2 linked regions of the Drosophila melanogaster genome follow. Each later gene encodes a partner of the first gene's protein in a complex. Each region holds a gene or a part of one and is shown in the gene's direction. Other genes may lie near its edges.

The links. The genes of interacting proteins can lie anywhere in the genome.
Region 2: eIF3i (region 1) and eIF3f2 share a complex: the UniProt entries of both Drosophila melanogaster proteins name them as parts of the eukaryotic translation initiation factor 3 (eIF-3) complex.

Annotation. Positions count from the first base shown.
Region 1 is NT_033779.5:4,964,846-4,970,372, reverse strand, and holds eIF3i (eukaryotic translation initiation factor 3 subunit i), read left to right. Parts: upstream 1-2,597; 5' UTR 2,598-2,679; coding exon 2,680-2,682; intron 2,683-2,859; coding exon 2,860-3,349; intron 3,350-3,404; coding exon 3,405-3,892; 3' UTR 3,893-4,006; downstream 4,007-5,527. Other genes in the region: l(2)05714 (lethal (2) 05714), read left to right, coding at 1-161; Polr1C (RNA polymerase I and III subunit C), read right to left, coding at 227-1,088, 1,149-1,288; Scox (synthesis of cytochrome c oxidase), read left to right, coding at 1,548-1,941, 2,005-2,366; CG34125 (uncharacterized protein), read right to left, coding at 4,099-4,491, 4,551-4,637; CG34124 (uncharacterized protein), read right to left, coding at 5,098-5,527. UniProt on the Drosophila melanogaster protein: Component of the eukaryotic translation initiation factor 3 (eIF-3) complex, which is involved in protein synthesis of a specialized repertoire of mRNAs and, together with other initiation factors, stimulates binding of mRNA and methionyl-tRNAi to the 40S ribosome.
Region 2 is NT_033778.4:6,198,296-6,203,311, forward strand, and holds eIF3f2 (eukaryotic translation initiation factor 3 subunit f2), read left to right. Parts: upstream 1-2,557; 5' UTR 2,558-2,621; coding exon 2,622-2,726; intron 2,727-2,782; coding exon 2,783-3,538; 3' UTR 3,539-3,661; downstream 3,662-5,016. Other genes in the region: CG30431 (uncharacterized protein), read left to right, coding at 4,652-5,016. UniProt on the Drosophila melanogaster protein: Component of the eukaryotic translation initiation factor 3 (eIF-3) complex, which is involved in protein synthesis of a specialized repertoire of mRNAs and, together with other initiation factors, stimulates binding of mRNA and methionyl-tRNAi to the 40S ribosome.

The DNA of each region.
Region 1 (5,527 bases):
TTATTAGTGAATTTGACTTGTTTGGCAAGAGTTTGGCTCTGCAGCTGAACAACATGGACCTGGAGGACGCACTAATGTGCCAGGAGCGTCTGCAGGTGGTCCTAACGGAATTTCGCCTGAAGGTGCTCAAGCGCAAGAGAGAGCAAGCACGATCTTCGTAGGCTTACAATTTATATCAAGCTGTCTTATGTACATAATATAATTTCTTTAACAACTAAATAAATAACTATTCTGCCTCAATTTCGTCAATTAGCGCCCGGCACTTTCTCTTCAATACCTTGACCGCCTCCAGGAAGATGACATCGGGCTTCAGTGCGCCGACTGATTCCACGGAGAAAATGTAGTGATCTCGGATACGGGCCAAAGTCACAGCGTCGTTTAGCTGGGGATAGCGATACACATTTCGGCTGCACGTGTCGTAGCGTGCATCCTTTACATAGGCAGTTTCATTCTCGTCAATGCCAATTACTCCTGGTGAGAAACAGTTCTGTAATAGGTACGCATCCTTACCGGTCACCTCGCGGTTCAGCTTAATCATGGGCAGCAGTCGGTAGGTGGCCGTGGCCACCGGCGAGAATTTCGCGTGATCCCGTCCAAGTCCCTTAACCGCCACCAGGCGCAGATCCAACTCGTGACCCGGACGCAATTGGGCAATCAGTATGTCATCGTGAATGCAGTTCACAGCACTCTCGCTGTATATCTGCGCCTGCTTTCCTTTGGGCAGCCACTTCAGATGACCCGAGTACACTTTGTGGTTTTTGTAAATGTCATCGAAGTTGGACTGATCTTTTCCAGCATCCCGTCGCCGCGAGCACTTCACCTTCAGCTCAAATTCAAGCGTATCCTGCTCGGTCCCCGCCTCAGTGCTTTCCTCGGTGCGGTATGCGAATAGACGGGGATCAGCCCGCAACGGAAGTAGACCCATTCGATGGGCAAGTACCTCGTCCTGGATGATCGAGGTGTTGTTGTATATGTACACCTTTTCGATGGCCATGCTGGGCACATCGCTGAGCATCAGGCGACGGAAGGCATTTGCAATGGCGGGATACACGCCAATCAGATCGAACTCCAGGCCGTCTTCGTCGTTTCTAGAAGTGAACACCAATTGTTAATCGACTCGTAAGATTCTAATTTCTATTGAGATTTACCTGACGATTTTGATGTGCAGCTTTTCCTTGAAAGCCTGAACGGAAAATACATCGTCCGCCAGTCCATAGTCCTGCGGATCCTGCTTCACCCGATACTCCTCCATGTACAGAAGCGGCTCCTTGCGATTTTTGCTTGCCATTTGCCCCGGTGTTTTTATTAAATAATTTAACAAAATTGAACCGCACGTGTTGGAATCAATAAGACCGCCTTCTAATACCAAAATATACCAAACTAACTAACAAACTAACTAATATACTAAATAAATATACTTTATGTACTAAATAAATGCTGTTTCGCCGTGACTGGCTGAATAGGAAGAAGCAGCAGGACACCGGCGATATTTTTATTTCTCCAGAAGATTTACGTAAAGCCTTCAAATTTCTGAAACCGGGCGTAAGATGTCCCGCTCCCTGCAACGCTTAGTGGGCAGCTGTCGTCGCTGGGCACAACAGCCCGCAATTCGTCATTATGCCGCTCCCGCAGATTCCACTAAAGGCAAGGGTCCGATCTCTTGGAGAAGTCTGGCCGTCATTGGAGCCCTTGGAGCCGGAGGAGTGGGCTTCATGCTGTACGTGAAGAGCGAGAAGGATGAGGCGAGAATGAAGGAGCGTCAGCGGCAATTGGGAAAAGCAGCCATCGGCGGCAGTTGGGAATTAGTTGATTCGCAGGGAGCTGTTCGCAAATCGGAGGACTTCTTAGGCAAGTGGCTGCTCATCTATTTTGGCTTCACCCACTGCCCGGATATTTGTCCCGATGAGCTAGAGAAGATGGCCGCCGTCGTCGATGAAGTTGGTAAGTAGAGCCTGACTATTTCTTCCAAACCCAAAAAAAACCATGTTTCTCAAACCTTCACAGAAAAGTCCCCGCAAACGCCAGCAGTGCAGCCCATCTTTATCACCGTTGACCCAGAACGTGACTCCAAAGAGGTGGTGGCCAAATACGTAAAAGAGTTCTCCCCCAAACTGCTGGGACTCACGGGAACCGTCGAACAAATCCGCAAAGTGTGCAAGGCCTTCAGGGTTTATTTCAGCGCTGGACCGCGGGACGAGGACAACGATTATATTGTGGATCACACCATCATCATGTACCTGGTCAATCCCGATGGCGAGTTTGTCGATTACTACGGCCAAAATCGGGACAAGGACCAGTGTGTGGCATCCATTTTGGTGAACATAGCCAAGTGGAATTCAATGAACAAAAAGGGATGGTTCAGCTAGGCTGGCTAAGCTAGGCAAATGTTGTTTCGTTGTATTTACTTAATGTATGGCATAAAATATGGTTTTTACTTGATGTATATCAAGTTTTAAATCCAAATTTTCGTTTATATTGGCTATACCTTAAGTTCTAGATTGTAAAAATTTCTGGTTGTTCAAAATAAACTTGATTAACGGTATTTTTTAGATCCCCCTGGTATATCGAAGTGAGATTTTGACTAGGCCACGGTCACACTGCTCTTTTGGCGTGTAGTGCTGCGTGGATGTTGTTGCAAAAATATTCGTTTTCTCGCAACAAATAACAATATAATACAAAATGGTGCGTGCCTGGTCAATGACTACACAGTTTGCATTATTCCGGATGGGTTTCTTTAGAATTTACCCGAAATTACAACTATTTGCAAAGTGTGAAAGTCGTGTGAAATTCCGGACCAAACATAACCTTAAAAGCGGCCTAAATTGTTGCTAAAAATTCGTATTATTCTGTCTTTTATAGCGTCCGTTGATGCTTCAGGGCCACGAGCGTTCCATAACGCAAATCAAGTACAACCGCGAGGGCGACCTGCTCTTCTCCTGCTCCAAGGATCAGAAGCCCAATGTGTGGTACTCGCTGAACGGAGAACGTTTGGGCACCTACGATGGTCACCAGGGTGCGGTCTGGTGCCTGGATGTGGACTGGGAGAGCCGTAAGCTCATCACCGGCGCCGGTGATATGACCGCTAAGATCTGGGACGTCGAGTACGGCACCGTTATCGCCTCCATTCCGACCAAGTCATCGGTGCGCACCAGCAACTTCAGCTTCTCGGGCAACCAGGCAGCCTACTCAACGGACAAAGCGATGGGACAGAGCTGTGAACTGTTCCTCATCGATGTCCGCAACGCCGATTCCTCGTTGTCGGAGCAGGAGCCCACACTCCGCATCCCGATGACCGAGTCCAAAATTACGTCGATGTTGTGGGGTCCTCTGGATGAGACCATCATCACAGGTTGGTGTTTACCCGATAATCTATTATGAAAACCGTTTAAAACCCGTATTTCCAGGTCACGATAATGGCAACATTGCCATCTGGGACATCCGTAAGGGTCAAAAGGTGGTTGACTCTGGCACGGATCACAGCGCTGGCATCAACGACATGCAGTTGAGCAAGGATGGCACCATGTTTGTGACCGCCTCCAAGGACACCACCGCCAAATTGTTCGATTCGGAGTCCCTGATGTGCCTCAAGACCTACAAAACGGAGCGTCCAGTAAACTCGGCGGCCATCAGCCCAATCATGGATCATGTCGTGCTGGGCGGCGGTCAAGATGCCATGGAGGTGACCACTACGTCTACGAAGGCTGGCAAGTTTGACTCGCGCTTCTTCCACCTGATATACGAGGAGGAGTTCGCCCGACTCAAGGGCCATTTCGGACCCATCAACAGTTTGGCCTTCCATCCGGACGGCAAGAGTTACGCCTCGGGCGGAGAAGATGGTTTCGTGCGTGTCCAGACATTCGATAGTACATACTTTGAGAACATCTTCGAGTAGTTTGTATCCAGTAGTGATTTAGTAGGATCAGAGCCGGTGGACTTAACATAACCATTTCACCGGCGACATGTTCGTTTGCTTAGGGAACTTTCAAATATACGCGAGGACGAAACGAAACGGATCGCGTCGTTTATTTTTATAACATCAAAGGAGTGGAAAGAGGTACAACATGATTATATTCGAGTAAATGGTGTGCCATGTGTAACCTAAAAAAAGGAACGCTTTTTTTGCTTGAGAACCACAGGCTGACCCTGCATGGCCGCCCACTGAGCCGGTGTGGGCAGGCAGCCCGGCGGAGGAGGCGGAATGACGACATTTCCGTTGGAATTTGTCCTCACCTCGGCCCGTGAGTCCAAGTGGAGGACCTGTGCTGCAGCTGCTCCTGCCGACGTACTGGGACCAGCAAGTCCGAAGCCACTGCCATGTGTCATACCGTAGTTGGGCTGCCCGCTGAAGGGCATCTGCTGTTGCTGGTGGCTGATCATGCCGTAATACTGATTCTGGCTGGGCGGAGCACCTCCTCCTTGTGGATAGCCATAGGCACCAGCACCGGTGCCGCCGTTTCGCTGGCTTTCTTCATACGTTGGCGGAGGAGCTCGCTAGAAGTCGCAAAACTTTAGATGGCGACTGGTATTTGATAATCAAATTAACTTATTACCATGGCCATGTCATCGCCGGAATGGCGATAGTCGTAAGCGGGAGCACTTCCCTCGCTTGGTGGACCTGCTTTTGATGGCTTCGACATCTTATCTCGTCTGTAATTTGAAGTTGCACTTTGTTTACTTGCAGTTTCTCTGAGTCACAAACAGGGTTGTCAGCTCATCGAGATTAGTGATGTCGTAAAGTTTTCCCGTCAGATCTGGATTTATTCGAAATTTATTTTCTGCACGCGAATTGCTATTTTATTTCTTTGGCGTTTTAAAATAAATAAAAAATGGGAATAATATGTCCCTCACAATTTATTAGTAAATTTTTGAGTTGTGCTATTAGGACGCCAGTTATTGAAACACACGCTTTTACAAATAATTCAAAATCAGATTTAAAGATGTTCTATGGTAAAATATACATGTTTGGGTCACCTTTTTCGAAATTCAAAGTGAAGTCTACAAAAAAATATGTATTGAGTTACTTTTTGTAAATCGATGTTGTCAAGTTCCAAAAATAATTAATTTTTGAATTTCTACCAAAGTATTTGATATGGATGTCTAGAAAGGAAGCCCACTGCTGGTTCCTGGCTTTTTCGTGGCGATCCTCACCGACATGGGCGACTCGCAACTGGGCTGCTTATATTGCCGCCTTTTTATCAGGTCTCTTTGAATGGAGCTTCCCAGGCTGCGAATGGGCACCGCTGTAATCCCATCGATCAGATTCTCCCGGGCGTGCTGGAGCGTGCTATCGATCAGCTGCTCCACGGCTATGGCTCGAGGATCCACCATCGGTTCACGCTCCAGCACGTCCACAATCATGCGCAGGGTCTCGTCCGCCTGGAACTCCTCCAGCGGCAGCACCTCAATCAGCTCTTTGAACATGTGAGCGACGATGAAGTGGGTGCGGTTCACAACCTCGGAGTCGCCCATATGGACATGAGCGCACAGCGAGTCCTTGGCGTGATCGAAAATTCCGGATATCAGCTCC
Region 2 (5,016 bases), on another chromosome or scaffold:
CGTAGAGTAAAGTGTACTAGATTCGTTGAAAAGTTTGTAACAGGCATATAAACTATATATCTTCGTGATCTTCGGCTCTTGTCGAACGCTAGTTTGTTAATTCAAGTTGCCAAACCCAATCTTGCGCTGCGACTCTGTCTCTAGAATCTGTATGGTGAATTTTAACCTCCTAGCTTTTATAGTTCCTGAGATCTGCACATTTATACGGACAGACGGACATGGCCAGATCGACTCGGCTATTGATCTCGATCAAGAATATATATACTTCATATGGTCGGAAACGCTTCCTTCTGCCTGTTACATACTTTTCAAAGAATTTAGTATACCCTTTTACTCTACGAATAACGAGTATAATAATGAAATTTTGCGTTCGCATTTCTACCATCTGTGTAGCGGGTATCTGATAGTCGGGGAAGTCGACTGTAGCAGTCTACCTTTTTTTTTAATATTGTTAAATAGATATTGATAGATACTTATATATAACTTTATCTTCACTACGGCCGGACAAAGTTCATTGGTTTAACAGCACGTACCTTCCCATAATCCATTTATGTTTTCAAATAATTAATTTTAGAAAAATAATTAACTTTTCAGAACTGGTTACTTCAATCGAGTTATTTAATCCACACGCAATGATATGTCGAACGTGACATGTTGGACGTGACAATATTATTTCCATGTATAATGATTCGAGGAAAAGATTCAGACGCTGCAAAAAGTTAATATTCCTGTTTTAAAACCAACAATTTTTGAATTTCTTAATATTTACATGGCAACTAAAGTAATATATAATTTTTAAGAATCGCAGTAAAAGAAAATAATAAAATGTACTTTTAGTATTGTGTGTTTCTTTTATAGTAGATTTATAATCGAAGAGATCGATGGGAAATTTAAAAAAATTACAAAAAATTATATAAATTATTTTAAGTTTTTAGATATCAATCTTACGTCCCATTACTTTATTATTATATCACATTTTGCAACAATTGTTTGACACAAGAGTATGTAACAATGTTAATTCGTTAGATTAAATGTTCATTCAAACTCTTTAATAATAAGGCTTAACTCGGACTCCAAAGCTGTTAATGGTACTAATTTTTATATTTTCCAAAAAGAATATAAAACTATCGCCTTACTAGGTGTACTTTTTCTTAGCGTTACACTTGTCGCTTTCGGAAATAATTTGGAGGCATCTTGATGGAGGTTCAAGTTCACACTTAATTTGTGATTTGTGCTCACGGTCTGCATTCATTAAATCTCTGCTTATGTTTAACATGGTTGCCATTTAAGGAATTTACATTTTTAGTACTTAATAAATAAATTAACATTCTTATCCAGCCCATTTTGCATTTACATTAACCACATATGATTAATTAAAGCTTATGAAATCCGTATAAAAATTTAAATCAACGATTTTTAAGAATAAACTTAAATTTACGTTTTAGAGTAACATAATTTTAGTGGTGTTGTTAGAATCTGCATGCTTAATGCACTCCCTAGATAAGTTCCCGAGATCTCTACATTCATTTAGATAGGCAGACAGATGCACGGTAGGAGGATTTACTTTACAAGACGGGATACGCTTCCTCCTACCTGACACATCCTTTTCTAGCAATCTATCTAGTTTACCCTTATGCTTTACGACCGACAGGTATAAGATGGAAATTGCCGAGGATTGAATAAAATATTCCGTTATCGAGCTAAAACCGTTTTAAGAAGCGGGAGTTTTACAATCGATTCTTCTTGCTTCAAACAAGACCTGCGTGTAAGATCTACGCCGTAGATGGCCGATTTTTATAATGCAATATGTTGGGCTTATAGCAATATGCATATTTGGTTATTCATCGATGAATTTACTTTGCAGGGAATAGTTTTTAAATTAAAAGTCTTGTACATTTTCTAATAAAATATACACTCGACATAAAAGAAGAATTATCACGAATTTGGGTAACAATATTCATTGACGGCTATATAAATATATTTTTTTAAAATATTAAAAATATATAAATTAGTTCCCATGCAAAATGGCCTCATTGGTTTTGCTATGTAAACGTTTTACCAGTCTGATTTGTTTACCACCTTAACTGAGTTTTTAATATAGGGCGCCAATTGAAATTTGTATGAGTATGAAATTAAAGTCATTATGCCGTATGCGAAATATGGGAGGAGCAAGGAACACTGCCATTGATACTTGGTGAGATTCCCATTTCACAAGGTATTGATACACGAAATACCCATGGCTATCCGTAACAAACTCATGCACGTAAATTAAGAGTCGTTTTAACAGACATTTACTAAATTTTAAACTATATACATATATGGTAAAAAGGCAGAATGTTTTTAATTTTTGTTATTATGTTCTTATAGCATACACAACTGTAAAATAATGTATGATGCTTAATTTAAAATTATTTTAAGCTTGTTTTTTCTGTTTACCATTTCAAAATGTTTCTAAATAGGCAAGTTTCTAAATAGCAAGGCAACGAAATAGGTGAGCACATTTTGGCACGTGCCCTTTTAAGTTATATTTACATTTTACAACACTGGATCGAGGGGAGGCACAAGCGCAGCCAAGTTTGCTTTGCTAAGTTTCTTTTCCAACTTAATTTTTTTTGTAACTCATGATGTCTAGGAATTTTAGCATGCGAGCTAAGGTGTATCTAAAGCCGTTGGTGTTTTTCCAAATTATTGACGCATACGATCGCCGACCAAAAGGTGACAATCAGGTAGGTGTGCGCGCATTCATCTCCTGTCCACTAATCTTGTAATGATCAAACCAAAGGTTATGGGCACTTTGCTGGGTCGCAACAAGGAGGGCCACATCGAGATCACAAACTGTTTTACTGTGCCGCACAAGGAGCATTCGGAGAACAAACGCATTGATCTGGATATGGCATATGCCTCCGAGGTCCTAGAGCTAAATATGTTCGCCTATCCGAACGAGCGTGTGCTGGGCTGGTTCTGCACTGGGAAATCGGTGTCCCGCTCCGCGTCCCTGATCCACGACTATTATGTCAGAGAATGCTGCGAAGGACAGCCACTGCACCTGCTAGTGGATGCAGCCCTGAAGAACCAGCGACTCTCGACCCGACTGTACTGTGCTGTGGAGATGGGAGTGCCTGGTGGCACCAAAGGACTGATGTTCTCATTAGTTCCACTGGAGATTAGCAACGAAAATTCCGATTTGGTGGCTCTGCGTTGCATAGAAAAGCAATCGCAGCAACAGGCAAGCAAGCAAATGGAGCGCTTCGTCCCAGAGTTGGCTCAAGTGGTGGATGCCACTAGGGATATGCAACATCGCCTTGACTTGGTGCTGCGCTACATCAACGATGTCTTGGCCAGGAAGAAAAAACCTGACAACGTAGTCGGGAGATCCCTTTACGCCGCTCTCACTGCCGTGCCGCTTTTGGACTCGGACAAATTTCGCGTCATGTTTAATACTAACTTGAGGGATATGCTCATGGCCATCACTCTTTCCACAATGATAAAAACACAGCTGGAGATCAGCGAGAAACTGTCTTGCATGCAGGATCAGTGAACAATGACAAAAAACTGACTGAATTGACTGAATCAATCACTTAATTGTTATTTTGGGTGCCTTTTGCTATTTACACCACCTAATAAATTGAACTTTCATTAAAAGGAGGATGTAGGTCACACTAAAGCAAGCCTTCGGTAGAAATTATTAAATTAGTATCGGCTCCTGAACTTTGGAGTCTAGAAACATCGCATCCAGCGATTAAGATCATTATAAGCTCGTGCCGAAAACAAATGATTTTCGTTAAGGCTTCCCCCGTTCTACACAGTTGCGTTGCCCGAAAACCTTATAGGCAACGCTTGATCGGCATTCTTTTCCAGCATCCCGATCTTAGTCCCTTTGGTAAGTGATTTTCAGAGAAAGCGAGTCATTTCGCCAACTCCTTTGGCCGTTTAAGCACCAAAAAGTTTGCGGTAAATACAACAACAGTGCTGGGAAACCCGCGGCGGAATGATGATCTCTACGGACGGTGATAAGGTCCAGTACAGATCTATTTCGGTCTGTTCAAATCTCGACGAAGAGGGCACGGCGGAGGATGGTAGTGGAAAGGTGGTGGGGGTGTCGGGGATGTGGACCACCCAAATAATGCCGAGATAATAACGCCTTATCGCGGTTCAGGGACAGTCGGCGGATGTCCACCGGGGCAATCAATTAGCTGGAACGAACTGAAAATTAGCAAACGTTGACGTTGACCGTCGATAGTAGCCCTACGACACCCCTCTCCTCAGACGAATCTCCCGTTGTCTCTCTGCGCCCCCACCCCTCAGACGAACCGACGCCTCCGCCGCCTCTGACTTATCGCTCAAGCCAAGGGCTATCGGTGTGCCCCGGTCGCCTTTCCTGATAGACATCGCTGCTCTGAGGAGTGGATTAGATGCGGATCCACACCCTCAGACGTCCAGCGACCGGCGATCCGAGCAGACGCACGAAGTATTAAGCCTGTGGTAAAACCGTAATGAGATCCGATTTCAAAATGAAAACCCAAGTAGACTGAGCTAAGACTACAACGCAAGGAAAACAACTATGCCAATCGTCCGTATAGATCGGGGCTTCCTTGATTGAACTCACAGTGTAAACCGCGATCGTCCGTCCGGATTTCGGCAACTAAGTATTATGCTCTCGCTGCTGCCGCACCACCCGCTCGTCTGCCGCTGCTGCCTGCTGGAGCAGCCGCCGCTCTACCACAGTCTCTATGACGCCTCTAGCCAGCTGGCGGTGGAGCTGAAGGCCCTGGCTCCCGCCCTGCGCCTTGAGCACGGCGACAACCTCACCGATGTGATATGCGACCTGTGCCTTCGTCGCCTGCACGACGCCCGCGACTTCCAGCGGCGGTGCGAGCACTCCGAACAGGTGCTACGCATGCGGCACGAGCACTGGAAGCACACGGTGGCCGTGGGAGACGCCTTGGCCCTGGACGATGTGCTTGAGTGCCTGGAGCGAGAAGTGGGCAGCCTGGAGGGACCGATGTCTGTGCCTCT